Stegostoma tigrinum: one gene and its partner. The protein of the gene in region 1 purifies or fractionates together with the protein of each later gene. This does not show direct contact. Links are inferred from orthologs where the notes say so. Each region holds a gene or a part of one and is shown on either strand. Other genes may lie near its edges.

Region 1 (9,942 bases):
ATAATCTTATACCTTAAAATCAGATCCCCTCTCATCCTTCTAAACTCAAGTGTATACAAGCCCAGTGGCTCCAATCTTTCAACATAAGATAGTCCCGCCATTCTGGGAATTTACCTCGTGAACCTATGCTGCATTCCCTCAATAGCAAGAATGTCCTTCCTCAAACTTGGAGACCAAAACTGCACACAATACTCCAGGTGCGGTCTCACCAGGGCCCTGTACAGCTGCAGAAGGACCTCTTTGCTCCTATACTCAATTCCTCTTGTTACGAAGGCCAGCATGCCATTAGCTTTCTTCACTGCCTACTGTACCTGCATGCTTGCTTTCATCCATATCACACCCTGTAAGCTTCCATTTCAGTTATCTAGTTTAATCTGAAATAAAAAGATATGAATCAGGAGCAGTAGTATCCCATTCAGCCCTTTGAACAGGCTCATTATGCATAACCTTTAAAAATTTTAAGGCACAATCATATTTAACAAAATAGTTATGGTCTCTGCAGCAACAATAGTTCTTTTTAGCCAGGAAATTTCATATCTTGACAATCTTCGACTTACAAGGATGTTGCTGTGATTGGAGGGCTTGAGCTACTGAGAGGGACTGAATAGGCTGGGAGATAGCAAGAACTGCAGATACTGGAGTCAGAGACAACAGTGTGGAACTCAAGGAACACAGCTCACCAGACAGCATTACAGGAGCAGGAAAATTGACATTTTGGATCAGGATTCTTCTGGGTCTCGACCCGAAAAGTCAACATTCCTGCTCCTCTGATACTGCCTAGCCTGCTACGTTTGTGCAGCTCCACACTGAATAGGCTGGGGTTTTTTTCCCTGGAGTGTCACAGGCTGAAGGGTGCCCTTATAGAGGTTTACAGAATCAGTAAAGGCATGGATCGGATGAATAGCCAAGGTCTTTTTCTCAGGGTGCAGGGCTCAAAACCAGATAGCATAACTATAAAGGTGAGAGGTGAACATTTTCATGCAGAGTGGTGTGTGTGGAATGAACTGCCAGAGGAACTGATGGAGGCATGTACAATTACGACATTTTGATTAGATTAAATTAGAATCCCTACAGTGTGGAAACAGGCCCTTTGGCCCAACAAGTCCACACTGCCCCTTGATATATCCCACCCAGACCCAATCCCCTATAACCCACGCACCTCTGAACATTTTGGACAATTTAGCATGGCCAATCCACCTAGCCTGCACATCTTTGGACTGTGGGAGGAAACCGGAGCACCCGGAGGAAACCCACCAGACACAGGCAGAATGTGCAAACTCCACACAGACAGTTACCCCAGGCTGGAATTGAACCCGGGTCCCTGGTGCTGTGAGACTGCAGTGCTAACGACTGAGCCACCGTTAAAAGACATCCGGACAGCCACGTGAACAGGAAGGGTTAGGAGGGAAATGAGCCAAATGCCAGCAATTGGGACTAGATCAATTTAGTATATCTGGTTTACATGGACAAATTGGATCAAAGGGTCTATTTTCATGCTGTATTACTCTATGACTTTAGTGAAAAATACGAAAGTTGTCCCATCTGCTGGGGGCCAAGATTTTCAATCACACATATAAAAGGAAGCAGGAGCAGACATCCCTGAATATCAATGGCAGATCCAGCCCAAGGCAGCTTGCAGCAGTGCTTCAAAATTTCAAATGTCAAAATCAGTGGCGGCATTTTCAATGCTGGGTCTTATCAGCTTTATCACTTGCCTTGGGCATGTACTCCTATCCTGTATTTACCAACAATATATCGGTCAGAGATTGTACTTCATGTTCACATAGTTCACTCCAATTTCATACGCATAGCACTGTTGCAAGCCTCACCCTAACATCTCACAGCTTGCATACTTAAACCAACTATTCAAACATGACAGTGACTATCAGGTCTGAAGAATTGTCCCTGAACTCAAAACATTAATTCTGCTTTTTCTCCACAGTTGCTGCCAAACTTATTGGGTTTGAACTGCAATTTGTTTTATGACAAACACAGCATCCAGATGGATTATATGAGAATCATTGAATACATTTTTCTCTTTCTTTCTTGTGGGACAACGTGGTGCACAGCTGAAGGCAGTAGGGTAAGATGCACTCAATTTTACTGAGAAGTGAATTGAGAAAGCAGGTATTGGCCATAACTTTTAATCCTCTTTCCACTTAGTTGGTGCTAGAAGACTGGAGAATTGCAAAATGTTGCACCCTTGTTCGAAAAGGTACAAAGATGAGAAACTGTATACCCATCAGTTTAACCTCCATTATGGAGAGATTTTTTTTACACGAATAATTCAGGATAAAATTAATAATCACTTTGGCAGATGCAGATTAATTCTTTAAAAAAACTAACACGATTAGTGCACATCACGTTTAACTAATTTGTCTGCTATTTTGTTTTAGTATCAGAGGTTTGATGAGGATGATGCTGTTGATGTGGTGTACATGGACTTCAAAAAGGCATTTGATAAAGTACACACAACAAATTTACAAGCAAATTAGTACTCATGGAATAAAAGGGGCAGTTGCAACATGGATATGAATTTTTTGCATGACCAGAAAAAAAGCTGTAGTAATGTTTCATGATTATGTCATCTTCATGATTATGCATCATTGACTTAGAAATTACAATATAGTGCAGTGAATAAAATTTCACAGATAATGTGACACTAGTAACAATTGGTAATGACCAAATAGAAGTAGGAGTAGAAATAGGCTATTCAATGAGATCATGGTTGATCTGATAATCCTGAACTCCAGTTTCCTGGCTTCCCCAGAACTGTATTCCCTTACTGATAAAAAAAATCTCAGCTTTGAACACATTTACCGGCCTAGCCTCTGCAGCTCTTTGCAGCAAAGAATTCCACTGATTCACTACCCTCAGAAATTCTTCCTCATCTGTCTTAAGTGTGAAGCCCCTTATTCAGATTATGTCCTCTTGTCCTAAAGCTCTCCCACAAGGGGAAACAATTCTTCCACATCTACCCTGTCAAGACCCCTAAGAATTTTGTATGTTTGTCTTCTCTAAGAAGTTCAGGCCCACTCTGCTCAAATCTCTCCTAAAAACACAGTCCCTCCATACCCAGTATTAGCCTAGCTAACCTTCTGTGGACTGGCTCCAATGCTGGTATATCCTTCCTTAGGTAACAGGCCTAAAACTGTTCATAGTATTCCTGCTATGGTCTAACTAATGCCTTGTATTGTTTCAGCAAAACCTTTCCCAATTTATACACCATTCCCTTTGAAATAAAGACATTCTACTTGCCTTCCCTCTTACCCACTGAACTCAGATTTCATGATATGTGAAGCAGTGATTTAGATAGGGAAGAATGTGCGACAGAACAATTCTTATTTTAACCTCAACTCCAAGTAGTTGGTAACTTAATAGCATATATGCATTTTTAAAAATAAACACAAACATGGGGATTACCAAATGATTGTGGTTGCTGCAATATGCATTCAATTCCAAACAGGTAAGGAAATTACACACTTATTTGTAAAATTAATGAGTTCCATTAATATGTCAATTGGAAAATACAGTCCAGCATAGTATTCAGCCAAAGGGTATCAGAACCAAACACAACATCTGCCCTCATCTAGTATACTTAGTAAAATCTGAACACATTTAACATACATGTGCACAATAACATACATAGCATTAAAACAACAGTAGAAATTTCTGCAAAGCTCAGCAAGTCTGCCAGTATATGTGGAGAAAAATCAGTTAATGGTTAGGGTTCAGTGACTCTTCCTCAGAAAGGCTCCATTTGACCCAAAATGTTAACTCTGATTTCTCACCACAGATGCTGCCAGACCTTCTCAGCTTTTCTAGCAATTTCTATTTTTGTCTCCAATTTACAACATCTGCAGTTCTTTTGGTTTTTCTTTAAGCAGTATTGAGGATGGGTCAATTGCGTGTTTAAAAAAAATTGCCGATTAATTGGTTTCCATTCCCTTTTCAATTGCACAGCAGTTGGTGATGTCGGTAGATTTGTGTCATAGGTAGAGAGGGTGGTTAAGCAGTTTAGCACACTTGCATTCCCTGCTTAGACCTTTGAATATAGGAACAAAAACAGAAATTGTTGGAAAAGCTCTGCAGGTCTGGCAGCATCTGAGAAGGTAAATGTTCAGGTTGGTGGCCCTTCCTCAGAACGGTATAGGAGCTGGCATGTCACATTGTACAGGATGTTGGTGAGGCCTCTTCTGGAATACTGTGTGCAGTTCTGGTCACCCTGTTACAGGAAGCATATTATTAAACTGGACAAGTTTAGAAAAGATTTAACAACTGAAAGATCTGTAGATGCTGGAAGTCTGAAACAAAAACAAATTGCTGGAAAAACTGAGCAGGTCTGACAGCATCTGTGGAGCAAAATCAGAGTTAATATTTTGGGTCTATTGACTCTTTATCAGAAATGATTTACCAGGATGTTATTGGGAATCGAAAATTTGAGGATTAAGCTAGACAATGACTTTTTTTTTTACACTGGAGGGTAAGAGCTTGAGGGCTGACTTAATTTTTAAGATCATTAGGGGCATTGGTAAGATGAATAGCAAAGGTCTTTCCCTAAGGTGGGGGGGGGGGGGCGGAGTTCAAAACTAGGGGGCATACTCGTAAGACAAGAGGAGAAAGATGTAAAAGAGGACATCAGGGGCGACTCTTTAAAAAAAGGTTAGCGTGTAGAATAAACTGCCAGGGAAAGTGGCAGATGCGGATACAGACGTAACATTTAAATACTTACATGAACAGGAAAAGTTTGGAGTGATATGGGCCAAAGGCAGGCAGATGGGATTAGTTTAGTTTGAAAAAAATACCCATTCAGATGTCTTCACGAATATCTGACGTGTCCTACCTAAGAAAATCCCATCATTCAGCCTAATATTATTGTTCATATGCGGGTCTCAGACATTTTCCAGCACTAATTCCATCATTCAGGTTCATTGTGGAACTCGGATTGCGCAGTGGGCTAGTCATCATCGACCATATTTTACATATCAAGCACCTGCCTGAAACAAATCCCCACATCCACCCCACTTCCTATCCAAATCAACTAAAGCAATCAAAGTTCCAGTTATTATTCACTGCTGCTCTCCCAGCTCCTTGAACCTACTCTGAAAACTCCATCCAAGATTAAATTTAAAATGATGCACACAGCCATTCATTCACCCACTCAGACGGTCCCATCACGAAGTTAGTTTAATCATCTCCGGATCCTCAAACAAGGGCCCGATCATATAAGGAAAATAGACAGGTTCATCTGGGGAACGATTTCACACTCACTCAGTCAGACAAATCAAGAGATAATGGGAACTGCAGATGCTGGAGATTCCAAGATAATAAAATGTGAGGCTGGATGAACACAGCAGGCCAAGCAGCATCTCAGGAGCACAAAAGCTGACGTTTCGGGCCTCTCTGATGAAGGGTCTAGGCCCGAAACGTCAGCTTTTGTGCTCCTGAGATGCTGCTTGGCCTGCTGTGTTCATCCAGCCTCACATTTTATTATCTTTGACAAATCAAGAGTCGTTTTTAGTCCCTCTTCCCACTAAAAAAAAGACCAACTCGGCTCCTCTCGGCCAAACACCATTTCCATTACTTTGAAGCAAAACTTTCAAGCTACCTCAAACTAAGCCGCACCGCCCGTCCGCTGCCGCGCATGCGCAGAACTTGTCGCCGCTGCCAGCCTGACCAGAACCCCGCCTACTGTGTAGGACTCCCTGTTGCTACCGGTCCATTTAAATGTCAATCATCAACCCTGCGCGATTTAAATAGACTCCCTGTCTATCATGAAGGTACCAAATTATGTATTTTATCATTCTGGCTTGAGGTTTCGTCATCCGCCCTTTGTCTCATAGGGCAAATTTAATTAACTTATTCAGTTAAATTATGCCTCAGGGTTTTGTTCTTTTGTAAGGCCTCTGTTTCATTTTGTGCTGCGATGAGGCGCTTGACAATTGTGATGAGGGCCAGCGTAGTGAATGTTGTCTCTCGGATGGAGAACTAGCTGTAGGTGAAAGCTCTCTGTGTTTGACAGTGAAGGGCTTTGAGTGGAGGCGGTCTTATAGCATGGCTCTTCTCAGAGGTGAGTCAAAGTAGAACGATGTTTATATACCTGCTCGGATCGCAGAATAATAAACAAGGAACACCATTCTTTCTCATAATATCATAAAATGCCGGCACCTTACTGCAGTTGGGTTCACTGTTTGAATTTGAAATAACATTCGCCTCCGTTATAATCCTTGAACTTTGTCCCGTTTAAAAAGCCTCCATCCATAACTTTTTGGAGAGTGTATGTCAACTCCAGCCGAGTTGCGATGTGAACTGTCAACATTTGAAGATACGGTAGGAGTCACTTTTAAAAACTTTTTGAAGTTTTAAGATGGGGCCGAGTGGACTTGCACTGAAGCAAAGGCGAGAATTGGAGTTCTGAAGAAAGGTCTATAGACCCGAAACATTAACACTGCTTGCTCTCTCCACAGATGTTGTGAACTTTCCCAGCAACTTCTGTTTTTGTTTCTGGTTTCAAGTATCGCTGTTCTTTGGTTTTTATTGTGAGAATGTGCAATATTAAAAATATATATTGCAGTTCTATTTAATCAAGAAATTGTATTCATTTTTAAAGAATGGCTTTCGTCAAAGGAAGTTGCTTCTTACATGGCATGCCTGACGATTGGAAATTTTTGATTTCCTTCTGGCTGCTGAATTAGTGGAGATGTATCCAAGAAGTGTGGCCACAAGCATTTCTTTTTATTTCGGAATGGATATTGATTTCACAAGGCTTATTTAATGTCCACTGTAAGAACTATGGATGCTATAAATCAGGAACAACAACAGAAGTTGTTGGAAAAGTTCAGCAGTTCTGAAGAAGGTTCACAGGACCCAAAATATTAACTCTTATTTTTCTTCATAGATGCTGCCACACCTACTGAGCTTTCTGAGGAAGGGTCACCGAACCTGAAACATTAACTCTGTTTTCTCCTCCACAGATGCTGCCAGACTTGCTGAGCTTTTCCAGCAACTTTGTTTTTGTTCCTGATTTACAGCAACTGCAGTTCTTTTGGTAATCAACTTCTGTGTTTGTTCTTTAGGGTCCAGTCTTGCCTTAAGTGGTCAGGGAATTAGGTTTGTGATGTTCTTTTCTTTTTAACAGAAAAAATGTATTTTTGTGAGAAGTAGGAAAGGTTACTGATGGTGTAATCAAAAAGATACACATTTTAAGAATGGTATTGGAGGAAGTGAGTGAGGTGCTAGCTGTGGAGAAAATGAAAACAGAGGGTGGTTGAAAGCATAACAGATCTACCAGAAGGTGACTTACGATTTTTGTTGAGGAGCTTTTGTTGGAAATCTTGCACTTACAATTACGATGTGTCCTGCTCTAAATGTAAGTTTTCTTTTATGTTTTCCAACTTGCAACCACACTTCAAAGATAATTGAAACTTGTGACCCAATTGTACACATCTACGACTGAAATAACATATTGGTTATACAATATCAGTGGTTTTTCAGTCTCTTTTCTTTAATTCATAATGTGGAGATACCAATGTGACTGTGGTGGATAAAGTCAGAAGTTACATGACACTGAGTTATAGTCCAAATTTATTTAAATCACAAGCTTTTTAGCACTGCTCCTTCATCGGGTGAAGTGGAGTGAAGGGCATGGGCGCAGAGTATATAGATGGAGAGATAATGGCAAGATAATTCCAAGTAATTAAGAGTGTCAATAGATAAGTACAAATAATGAGTGGTGGATGACGGGCTGAATAACAAGTCTTTGCAGGTGATCAGGAGTGTCAAACGGCGAGTAACGTGTCAACAAGCTAAATAAGAATTGAAGGGATTACCTGTGGACTGATTAATTCAGGCAGAGAGATATTATAAATAGTCAAAAATAAGATGGTGCTAGAGCCAACCAAATGCTGGAATAACATCAGTAGGTATCAGAGTTGCTTGATAAGGGTCTAACCAAAGTAACAAGTAAACATTTTAAATAAACCCGTTGGACTATAACCTGATGCCAGGTGACTTCTGACTTGAATTAATAGTAGCTGGTTTCCCCTTTTCTAGTAGAGATTTTTCAAAAGTGATGAACGGGGAGGTTTTTAAATAGTAGTTCATGTGCTGCTAACATGTCCCAAATTGTTTGGGAAACTTTGAGTGTAGATTTGTAATGGCAAGGAATGAAAAAAGTCAAATTTCTGCTTAATAAATGGAGAGATGATTTGTTTTAAGAGGTTACCAAAATGTGATACATGTCTAAAAGCAGAACTGAGATTGATGTATCTATTAGTAATTGCAAATGTTTATATTTTGATTCATTGTGCCTTTATATTTTACCTTCCAGCAGTTGTTCCCTCCAATCTAGAGTTGTGTATACAGTGACACAAATGCAGTGGTTCAAGGAGGTGGCTCACCACAGCCCCTCAAGGACAACTAGGGATGGGCAATAAATGTGCATCCAGCCTATATTTATTGCAGGCTTGTATGAGCATTTAAAAGGAATTTTAAGCCATTTGAAATTTTGAGTTACTGAGTTCTGCATTTTAAAGAAACTATTTAGAAAAGGAAAATAAATTTGTATCTCTAAAGTATCTCTTATGACCTCATCCTAAAGCACTTTGCAGCCAATAAATTGCTGAGACTGTACAGGGAAATGTGGCAGACAGATTGGTCTTCCCCAACAATGAGATATGATGAGATGATACTACAGGACTATATACAGCACAGAAATTAGCTATTCAACCCATCTAGTCCGGCCCTGCATTTGTGCCCTCCTCAAGCTTCCTCCCATCCTTTCTTATCTGACTGTTACCAGTAGGCCCTCCTATTCTCTATCTAATTTTCTCTTAAATGCATCTATACTTTTCAAACCAACTACTCGGCGATTCTCACTGCCCACTTGTAAAGAAGTTTCTTGAATTGTCTGTTTTCTTTAGTGACTGTCTTGCATTGCATTGATGGCCACTAATTTTGTTTTTCTTTTTCCTTTATAAATGGAAATTAGATATGCATTTATATAATATTTTTAATGTCTAAAATGTCATTGGGTCCTTAAGTTCTATTAAACAACATGTGACACTGATTCACATAATGAGATTAGTGCAAATGACCAACGGTTTTAAGCAGCATCTTGAAGGAGAAACAAAAGGAAGAGAGACCAAGAAGTTTGCAGAGAATTGGAAATAATGGCTTCAGCAACTGAAGGCATGGTTGCCATTGGTTGAGCAATTAAAATCAGTGATGTGCAAAAAGTGGCTTGCAGATGTCTTGAAGTTTTGCAGAAGAAACTGCACAGGTAAGAAGGAGCCAACAGCGTCCTAAAAATGGAATTAAAAATTTAAAACTGCAGCTTTGCTCAACTTGGAATTCAGTGAAGTTCAGGAGCAGTGGATAATGGAACATAGTGCAAATTAGGATGTAGGTAGGCTTTAGTTTTTGGAGGGGAGAAGACAGAAAGCTGGCCAGGTGTGTGTTGGAATTTCGAGTCTAAGTAAGGCATGGATGATGATACTAGCAGTAGGTGTGCTGAGGCGAGGTACTGTTATAAGGTGGAAATACTTGGCAGTGACACTGGATATGGACTTGGAAACTCATTTATTGGCTCAGATATAGTAGTAAAGTTATGAATGATCTGATTCAGCAGTAGATAGTGGCAGGATTGAGTTAGTAGCAAAAGGAGTTTGTGACAGTGGTTTTAGTCTTAATATTTAAAAGCAAAATACTGCAGATGTTTAAAATCCAAAATGAAAACTGTTAGAGACAGCCGGTCCATCAAAACAGGGAGGGAAATAGTTGACATTTTGAGTCCAATGAACTTCATTTGGAATATCAATATTTAGTTAGAGGAAATTTTTACTCATTCATTTGCCAATATAAGGTAAGTAGTCTAACAATTTAGGGATAGTAGGCAGGGTTTGGGGATGGGAGTCATGGTCATAAGGACACAGGTTGACAGCA
Region 2 (9,866 bases), on another chromosome or scaffold:
TGAGAGGAAGAACAGGTTAGGGAGGCAGAGACAGGTTGGACTGGTTTTGGGATGCAGTGGGTGGGGGGGAAAGAGCTGGGCTGGTTGTGTGGTGCAGTGGGGGGAGGGGATGAACTGGGCTGGTTTAGGGATGCAGTGGGGGAAGGGGAGATTTTGAAACTGGTGAAGTCCACATTGATACCATTAGGCTGCAGGGTTCCCAGGCGGAATATGAGTTGCTGTTCCTGCAACCTTCGGGTGGCATCATTGTGGCACTGCAGGAGGCCCATGATGGACATGTCATCAAGAGAATGGGAGGGGGAGTGGAAATGGTTTGCGACTGGGAGGTGCAGTAGTTTGTTGCGAACTGCCCCAAGATGACATTCCACATTAAGCAGAGGTTCACCTGCACATCTGCCAATGTGGTATACTGCATCCACTGTACCCGGTGTGGCTTCCTCTACATTGGGGAAACCAAGCGGAGGCTTGGAGACCGCTTTGCAGAACACCTCTGCTCAGTTCGCAACAAACTACTGCACCTCCCAGTCGCAAAACATTTCCACTCCCCCTCCCATTCTTTAGATGACATGTCCATCATGGGCCTCCTGCAGTGCCACAATGATGCCACCCGAAGGTTGCAGGAACAGCAACTCATATTCCGCCTGGGAACCCTGCAGCCTAATGGTATCAATGTGGACTTCACCAGTTTCAAAATCTCCCCTTCCCCTACTGCATCCCTAAACCAGCCCAGTTCGTCTCCTCCCCCCACTGCACCACACAGCCAGCCCAACTCTTCCCCCCCACCACTGCATCCCAAAACCAGTCCAACCTGTCTGTGCCTCCCTAACCTGTTCTTCCTCTCACCCATCCCTTCCTCCCACCCCAAGCCGCACCCCCAGCTACCTACTAACCTCATCCCACCTCCTTGACCTGTCCGTCTTCCCTGGACTGACCTATCCCCTCCCTACCTCCCCACCTACACTCTCTCCACCTATCTTCTTTACTCTCCATCTTCGGTCCGCCTCCCCCTCTCTCCCTATTTATTCCAGTTCCCTCTCCGAGGAAGGGTCTAGGCCCGAAACGTCAGCTTTTGTGCTCCGGAGATGCTGCTTGGCCTGCTATGTTCATCCAGCCTCACATTTTGTTGAATTAGAAAATAATGATTTGATTGGGTGAAGTGAAGGTGGATTTGTGAATGGGAAAACTTATTTAACAAACCTGGTGAGGTCCTTTCGATTATGGTACTAGCAGGGCCGATGAGGGGGAAACCAGTACATTATTAGAACATTATTTCAACGAGCCACCACACGCTGCAGCACAGAGGAACTACGCAGAGCAGAGGAAAATCACCTATACAGCGTATTCAAAAAGAACAGGTACCCAATGAACACAGTCCGCCGATTTCTCAGCCACAAACCCAAACAAACAGACAAAACGGGCTCAGAAACCATAACCACTCTCCCCTACATCAAAAGCATTTCCGAAATGACTGCCAGACTACTCGGACCCCTTGGCATCAGGGTAGCCCACAAACCCACCAACACACTAAAACTGCAGCTAATGAACTTAAAAGACCCTATACAGACAACAAGCAAAAGAAACGTCATTTACAAAATACTTTGCAAGAACTGTGACAAACACTACATTGGACAAACTGGCAGAAAGCTAGCCACCAGGATACATGAACATCAACTAGCCACAAAACGACATGACCCACTATCACTAGTATCCTTACATACAGATGAGGAAGGACACCACTTTGATTGGGACAACACATCCATCCTAGAACAAGCCAAACAGAGACATGCACGAGAATTCCTAGAAGCATGGCATTCCAACCGGAACTCCATCAACAAACACATTGATTTGGAGCCAATCTACTATCCCCTGAGAAAAAGAACAGGAAATGACATCACCAACCCAAGGAAACCTAACCAGATAAATAGAAAGCGGGACATAACACCAGCGCTTTGTCGGAGGCTCACTGATGATGTTACCTAGAATGGTGACAAAACGTCTGAAAACGAACCTTCCAGCTCAGCGAGCAAACTCACATCCAGAACCTCAACCTGAGCTACAAATCTTCTCAAAACTCGCTGGAAACCGGTACAGCTGGGCTTTTGAAAGGCTTCTGCGCTGGTATCGGGAAGTTTAAAAAAAAACTAAAGCACGTGGAATTGAGAGTAATGTTTTGGCATGGATTAAGGATCAGTTAAGAGACAAAACAGATCTTGAATAATTAGGTCATTCAGGTTCACAGGATGCATCTAGTGGCATACAGCAATGATCAGTGCATGGTGTCACCTGTTCACAATCTGTATGAATAGGATGTGGAAACTGAGTGTTCATGTTCCCAAGTTTATCTCTGTCATAAAACTAGTTGAGAATATGTTGTAAGGATGTTGCAATGTAATTTCAAATGGATTTGGATAATGTGACTCAATGGGCAAGAACAAGGCTGATGGAATACACTGGATAAGTATGAAGATATGCAAGTACAGAGTTTTCCTTTAAGGGATTAGGAAATATTGATTGTCACTGAAAACCAATACGTTGGTGTAGAAAGCAATTTGAAAGGCAAATGCCACATTGGCATTTATTGCAAGAAAATTATTGGAGCTTGTTGAAGAATTATGGATGTACTGATTAATTTGCAAAAGGATATTTGATACGGTTCCACATCAAAAGTTATTACAGAAAATAAAAGCTCTTTGGTGTATGGATACATATTAGAATGAAGAGATTAGCCAGCTCACAGGAATTAATAGGCATTATTAGTCATTTTCTGATTGGCAAGATGTGCCACATGGCTTTGTACGTTTTACAATTTGTATACACAACTTGAATGAAGGGACCATAAGAATGTTGCTAAATTTGCCAATGTCACAAAGATAGATAAGGAAGTAACTTGTGAAGACGACCTAATGAGGTTCCAAATAGATGTGGGTTAGGTGAGTGGGCGAGGATCTGACAAACAGAGTATTGTGTGGGAAAATGTAAAAATGTTGATTTGCCAGGAACAGTGAAAGAGCATATTATCAAAATGATGAGATAGTACGGAGCTCAGAGATGCAGAGAGATCTGGGTGTCTCAGTGTATTAATCACAAAAGGTACAGCAAGTAATTAGGTAAGCTAAAGATGCCATTATCACAAGGATAACGAACGTAAAAGTACCAGGATCGTGGAGAGCATTAGTGAGACTATGTCTGGAGTACAGAGCATTGTCACCTTATTTAATGAAAGTTGTAAATACATAAGGAGCAATTCAGGATAATGAAATGTGAGGCTGGATGAACACAGCAGGCCCAACAGCATCTCAGGAGCACAAAAGCTGACATTTTGGGCCTAGACCCTTCATCAGAGAGGGGGGTGGGAGGGTTCTGGAATAAATAGGGAGAGAGGGGGAGGCGGACCGAAGATGGAGAGAAAAGAAGATAGGTGGAGAGGAGAGTATAGGTGGGGAGGTAGGGAGGGGATAGGTCAGTCCAGGAAAGACGGACAGGTCAAGGAGGTGGGATGAGGTTAGTAGGTAGGAGATGGAGGTGTGGCTTAGGGTGGGAGGAAGGGATGGGTGAGAGGAAGAACAGGTTAGGGAGGCAGAGACAGGTTGGACTGGAGCAATTCAGAGGTGGTTTTCTGGCCTAATGCTTGGAATGGAGCAGGAGTGATAAGGAAAAGTTGCACAGGCTAGGACTGTGTCTGCTGGAACTTTGAAATGCAAGAGGGGTGAGGGGTTACTGGGGGTGGTAGGTGGGTATAGGGTGTATTCCAGGCCAGCTCTGTGCTTATCGAATGGCAGACCAGGCTCAAGGAAGCAGAGCAACCTACCCTCTCTTCCTCCTGGATTGTCAGATTCTGCCACGATGAGCTCAATTTCTGCTCTGCAGCAGAAATAGAAAGTGTAGGAGAAACTCAGCAAGGCTAGCAGCAACTGTGGCAAGAGAAACAGAGTTAATGTTTTGAGTGTGGTGATCTCGTAGGTTTTGTTCTTTTCAAAGTGCTGTTCGACTCCAACCGGCGACATCAATGGGAAATAAAACAAAGAAACTGGGAGGGGGCCGGGGGAAAGATCTGAAACTGATAATAGAAATTGCTGGGAAAACTCTGTAGGTCTGGCAGCATTTTGGAGAAAGAAGCAGTTAACATTTCAGGTCCAGTGACCCTTCTGCAGAGTTCCCTTTGGCTGTTCTGCTTTGGATACTTCTAAACAAAATTACATTTTAAAGTTTTTGTCACGGAATTAGACTCGAGGAGATATCACTTGGCTGGCGATTGTGTCAGTTTCAATTTGAGTTTGGATATTACATCAAACAAGACCCCAAAAATAAAAAAAAACTGCACATGCTGGAGATCTAGCAGGTAGTAACTTGGCCAATTATATGGTCCCTGGATTTATCAATGTGCCATGTTTTGTACTGGTAGAGATATTCTTACTCATGGTGTTGAGCAGCCAAGTGAGAGATCTGAAATAAAAACAAATTGCTGCGTCCAGAGGGAGCTGGGGAAGAGAGAGAGAGAGAGAAGCAGATTGAGGGGTTGGGACTCCACCATCAGGTTTACATGAAGTTCAAAGACCTGCCTCTGAGGGAAACAATCCCTCAGTTTGGGTGGGCTCTCAAACTGCAAGGGACAATAAGGGGACCCCAGCTTGGAATAAGCAGAACAGTATATTTGGAATTAATTACAGGAGAAGGTGGCAAAGGTGATGGAGACTTAACTACAACTTCAATAAAAAACTTAAATAAAATGTGCCTTGTCACATGGGCCACCACTCCACAAGGTGACTTGTGCTAGGGTAAATATAGGCAGACTGTGAGGTCCTCAAACCTGGCTGCAGCTGAGCTCACCAGCCTGCTGCCAAGAAGTTACCTCCACACAACACTGTTCCCTTTCTGATGGCCGAATGGAACTGGAAGTCCGCGTGGTCATTAACTATCTGAATTCATCCCCATTCCTCTACTCCCCCTCCTTCCCCCACCCACCCCTATCATGAGCCAATTGCCTGGATGTAGCATGAAGCTGAGGAATTGGCGATCTGGGGTCGAATTGTAACTCACTTGTCCTGATACACAACGCCCTCCTGACCCTCAAAAGTTTCGTGTAATGTTTCAGTTTGATGACCTTTCATAAGAGCATGACAAATCTGGCCCTGGCTGATCGCTACAGATTGACATCAAAGAGGCCTGCTCTCATTGGCTAGGAAAATCTGCCCTGTCCGTAACTGAACCAACAAACTAGACAGATGTTCCCTATTTCCTGCTCTTACTGTGGTACTGAGCAGTCCTCTGTGAAGGATGAGGTCAAAAGTCTTGCAAAGATGTGGGATTTCCCTTTAGGAATTGCAAGATTAATTTTTCACAATGTCATTTCCTCCTATCCATTCATAATCAATGGCCAGGGATAGACTGTGGGGGGAGTCTCCGCTGGTGAGTTCAGGCTGTCCGGAAGCACATTATTGGACCAGTTCTGAAGAAGGGTCACTAGACTCGAAACATTAACTCACTCTCGCTCTCTCTCCACCGATTCTGACAGCCCTGCTGAGTTTCTCCGGTTGTTTCTGCTTTTCTGTTTCAAGATTTCCACATTCGCAGTTTTTTTTTATTGCAGCACTGTGCTGGAGCCTGACTTCCCCCACCCATATGCCATGCACACACTCCCTCTCTGGTTGCTAAGCTCTGCCCCTGCTAAAGTGTTAAGTCATGTTGACTTGCAAAAAACTGATGCTAGCTGAAGCCCAGGCGAGTCACCCCACAAAATCAAGGGACTGAGTGAGGACAGGCTCGATCGGCTGTTCCTGGGACTGCCCGCTTCGGACAGCCCCAAGGCCCGGGGCTCTCGGTTTGCAGAGGGCAGTGATGGCCTGCTCCGAACCCCGGCTTGAAGATGAAGTCGCGTAGCTTCCGCGTGTCTGTGATTGATGGGCGTGTTGTCCAATCATAGCGCGTCTCCCCGTAGAACGCGGTGTATCAATCTCACAGCTGTCCAATAGAAGTGTTAGAGGGGCGGGATCTGAGTGCTGAAATGTAACAAACCCGCAGCAGCAAGTGCCCAGAGATTTGAGATTGCACCATGGCTGAGTGAGTATACCTCTCGGGGTGGGCAGGGATTGTCTCTACTGCATCGATTCTTGTAAAATAAGCATTATATTTAATGCTCTCAAATAATTTGTATCCATCAGCGGATTTCAAGCATTTTTCTTTCAGATTTCTGGCAGCACTTCACTCTTGTGTTGCTTTTTTTCAACGTTTTTAACATTTGGTTCCTTGGCTAAATTCGTACTGATTTCTTTCCCTAGGTGATTATATGCTTTTGAGTCCAGAGTTAGTTAAAGGGCTTGCTCACTTGAATCAGGACGATTTTCTCTTCCGTCTCTCTTTTTGAATATCTCGTTCCTTGATTGCTCTGTGGGCTTTCGAGCTGGCTGCCCTTTCCCAGGGGAGAGACGAGGATATTAACGATCTCCTAGGCCTCTCCCAGCTCTTGCACAAGCTGCTAGGAGGAGCGTTCCCTCACCAGACATTCTATCAGAGTGATGTGCTTTCAAGCTCCCTAGGATGCCGCTGGTTAACTGGGAGGGAGGGACAATAGTTACAAAGAGTGATTTGTGATCTTTGAGTTCCTTTGCTAAAGCAGTGACTTTTAGACGAAATAGAATAGTCTCTTTCCCTGATTTAAGGGTTTAAACCAAATGGCTTGGGGAGCTAGTGAAATGTAGTCATTAAATAAAAAGTGAAGAGAGAGACGTTACACAGGTTGGTGGAATGCCCTCGTTCAAGTAATAGAATTTTACATCTTTTCTGGAAAAATGGACTAAATATTTGAAATGGTGTAGGATACATTGGAGTGAGAACAGGGCCATGAGAATAGACTTATACAGCACAGAAACAGACCCTTCAGTCAGTGCTGAACACTATGCTGGTCCCAACTGCCTGGTCCTGGCCCATATTGCTGCAAATGTTTCCTGTTCATGTACTTACCAAGTGTCTTTTAAACGATGTGGATACTGGTACAATTACAACTTCTTGGGAGGTTCGTTCCACGTGCGAACCACCCTCTGTGTAAAAGAAAAACTTGCCCCTTGTGTCTTTTTTTAAATCTCTCTCCTCACACCTTAAAAATGTGTCCCTAGATTTGAAATCACCCATTCTAGTTAAAAGATAGCTCCTGTTAATCCTGTCAATGCCACTCATGATTTTATAAACCTCTATCAAGTCACCTCTTAACCTCCCAAGCTCCAGTGACAAAGTCCCAGCCCATCCAGCCTTTCTTTATAACTCAAACCCTCCATACCCAGCAACATCCTGGTTAAGAGATAGCAAAGACTGCAGATGCTGGAGTCAGAGATAAAACAGTGTGGAGCCGGATGAACACAGCAGGCCAGGCAGCATCAGAGAAGCAGGAACGCCGACATTTTGGGCCGAGACCCTTCTTCAGAAAATTTTCTCCAAAAGTTATCTCTAACATCCTGGTTAATCTGTCCTGAACCCTCTCCAGTTTAATAGTTTCTTTGGAAAGAGACACAAAGGGTTGGGCAACCTTTAGTGCTGTTAATGCCCCTAGATCTGCTGCCTTCACCTTTCTGTTGACAGGAGTCCCGTGTGTGGGAAGTGCTAATATTTAGCAGTGTAGAAGGAAGCCAACCAACCAGTCAATACTTTCCTTGTTTCCCTTTCCCCGACCCTGTCAAGCTATTGACCAGTGAAATCGGCTGTTTCTGACATCATTGAATTGTCCTTGAAGTTTTGGAAAAGTTTTTTGGAGTTTTTCCTGGCCACCTATGAGCCAAGAGAGGAACTCTCTATTTTCTCCTCCTTAATAGAAGCCTTGTGTCCCTGATTTCCTTCAGGGGTTGGAGGTGGGGGAGAGGACTGGGAGGGTCATTGCTTGCAACCTCTGTAGGGAGGTGATGGCCTAGTGGTATTGTTGTTGGGTTAATAATCCAGGGACCCAGGTAATGTTCTGATGACCTGCATTTGAATCCCATCTTGGCAGCTGTTGGAACTAGAATTCTATGAAAATCTGAAATTAAGACCTTAACAATGACCACGTTGATGATTGTGAGGGAAGCCCATCTGCTTCAGTAATGCCTTTTAAGGCAGGAATTCCACTGTCCTACCTGGTCTGGTCTACATGTCACTGCAGACCCACAGCAATGCAGTTGCCTCTTTACTGGTTTCTGGGCAATTAGGGCTTGGTAGGTTCAAGCCAGTGAAGCCCACGCTGTGTGATTTATTTTTAAAGAAAGCATTTCACAACAATTTGCTTGAAAGACAGGAAACTCAAGTGGCTGTTGTGATAACAAAAACAAAGTTGCTGGAAAAGCTCAGCAGGCCTGGCAGCATCTGTGAAGGACAAAACAGAATTAACGTTTCGGGTCCAGTGACAGTTCTGAGGAAGGGTCACCGGACCCAAAACATTAACTCTGTTTTTCAAACAAATTCCAAATGTAATTGCTATTTTGGCTTCCGCTCTGTGTGGCAGTGAATGGAACATCTCTTGAAATTTGGTGCGGCCAAGCAGTCTAAAGTGTTGAATTTAAGCTCCCGATCCTATGTAGGGGTCATGTGGAGCAGTGATAGTGACCCTATCTCTGGGGCAACAGATCAGACCTAACAACCATGTCCAATCGGGTTGATTGGAATAACTGACGAGGAATTTGTTAATATCCTGAACTTTTCCTTGGAGTATTTGGGCACATGGATGTGTTGTAATTATAGGGTGGTTAAAGCCCCCCCCCCCCCCCCCCTCCTCCATGTAATAACATCTCTGAACAGGTTGATTAGAAAATATGTATAGAATATCTCTCTTTTAAAGTGAATAAAAGTCAGTTTTAAAAGGTTAACCAATTACATAGAGTCTGAGCAATCCACAGAACTCATTGCTAATATTCATTTGTAAATTGAGCAGTTGGTTGTGTCTTTCAGTGAAGACTGTGAGCTATTTGTTTTTTGTTGGAAAATGAGACAGTAACAATAATAAAGAAAACAGTGTCCGTAAATCTGAGATAATGGGAACTGCAGATGCTGGAGAATTCCAAGATAATAAAATGTGAGGCTGGATGAACACAGCAGGCCAAGCAGCATCTCAGGAGCACAAAAGCTGACGTTTCGGGCCTAGACCCTTCATCAGAGAGGGGGATGGGGGGAGGGAACTGGAATAAATAGGGAGAGAGGGGGAGGTGGACCGAAGGTGGAGAGAAAAGAAGATAGGTGGAGAGGAGAGTATAGGTGGGGAGGTAGGGAGGAGATGGGTCAGTCCAGGGAAGACGGACAGGTCAAGGAGGTGGGATGAGGTTAGTAGGTAGCGGGGGGTGCGGCTTGGGGTGGGAGGAAGGGATGGGTGAGAGGAAGAACCGGTTAGGGAGGCAGAGACAGGTTGGACTGGTTTTGGGATGCAGTGGGCGGGGGGGGAAGAGCTGGGCTGGTTGTGTGGTGCAGTGGGGGGAGGGGACGAACTGGGCTGGTTTAGGGATGCAGTAGGGGAAGGGGAGATTTTGAAACTGGTGAAGTCCACATTGATACCATTAGGCTGCAGGGTTCCCAGGCGGAATATGAGTTGCTGTTCCTACAACCTTCGGGTGGCATCATTGTGGCACTGCAGGAGGCCCATGACGGACATGTCATCTAGAGAATGGGAGGGGGAGTGGAAATGGTTTGCGACTGGGAGGTGCAGTTGTTTGTTGCGAACTGAGCGGAGGTGTTCTGCAAAGCGGTCTCCAAGCCTCCGCTTGGTTTCCCCAATGTAGAGGAAGCCACACCGGGTACAGTGGATGCAGTTTACCACATTGGCAGACGTGCAGGTGAACCTCTGCTTAATGTGGAATGTCATCTTGGGGCCTGGGATAGGGGTGAGGGAGGAGGTGTGGGGGCAAGTGTAGCATTTCCTG

Evidence for each region. Proteins that work in one complex are often made in the same cells at the same time.
Region 2: the proteins of acaa2 (region 1) and pgd fractionate together in Homo sapiens (co-fractionation; 3 studies listed by BioGRID). This does not show direct contact. The link is inferred for Stegostoma tigrinum from reciprocal best matches to the Homo sapiens genes ACAA2 and PGD.

Annotation. Positions count from the first base shown.
Region 1 is NC_081354.1:158,737,513-158,747,454, forward strand, and holds the start of acaa2 (3-ketoacyl-CoA thiolase, mitochondrial), read left to right. Parts: upstream 1-5,909; 5' UTR 5,910-6,054; coding exon 6,055-6,070; intron 6,071-6,103; exon of another isoform or gene 6,104-6,330; intron 6,331-9,942. UniProt on the Homo sapiens protein: In the production of energy from fats, this is one of the enzymes that catalyzes the last step of the mitochondrial beta-oxidation pathway, an aerobic process breaking down fatty acids into acetyl-CoA.
Region 2 is NC_081381.1:13,758,962-13,768,827, reverse strand, and holds the start of pgd (6-phosphogluconate dehydrogenase, decarboxylating), read left to right. Parts: upstream 1-5,948; 5' UTR 5,949-6,049; coding exon 6,050-6,057; intron 6,058-9,866. UniProt on the Homo sapiens protein: Catalyzes the oxidative decarboxylation of 6-phosphogluconate to ribulose 5-phosphate and CO(2), with concomitant reduction of NADP to NADPH.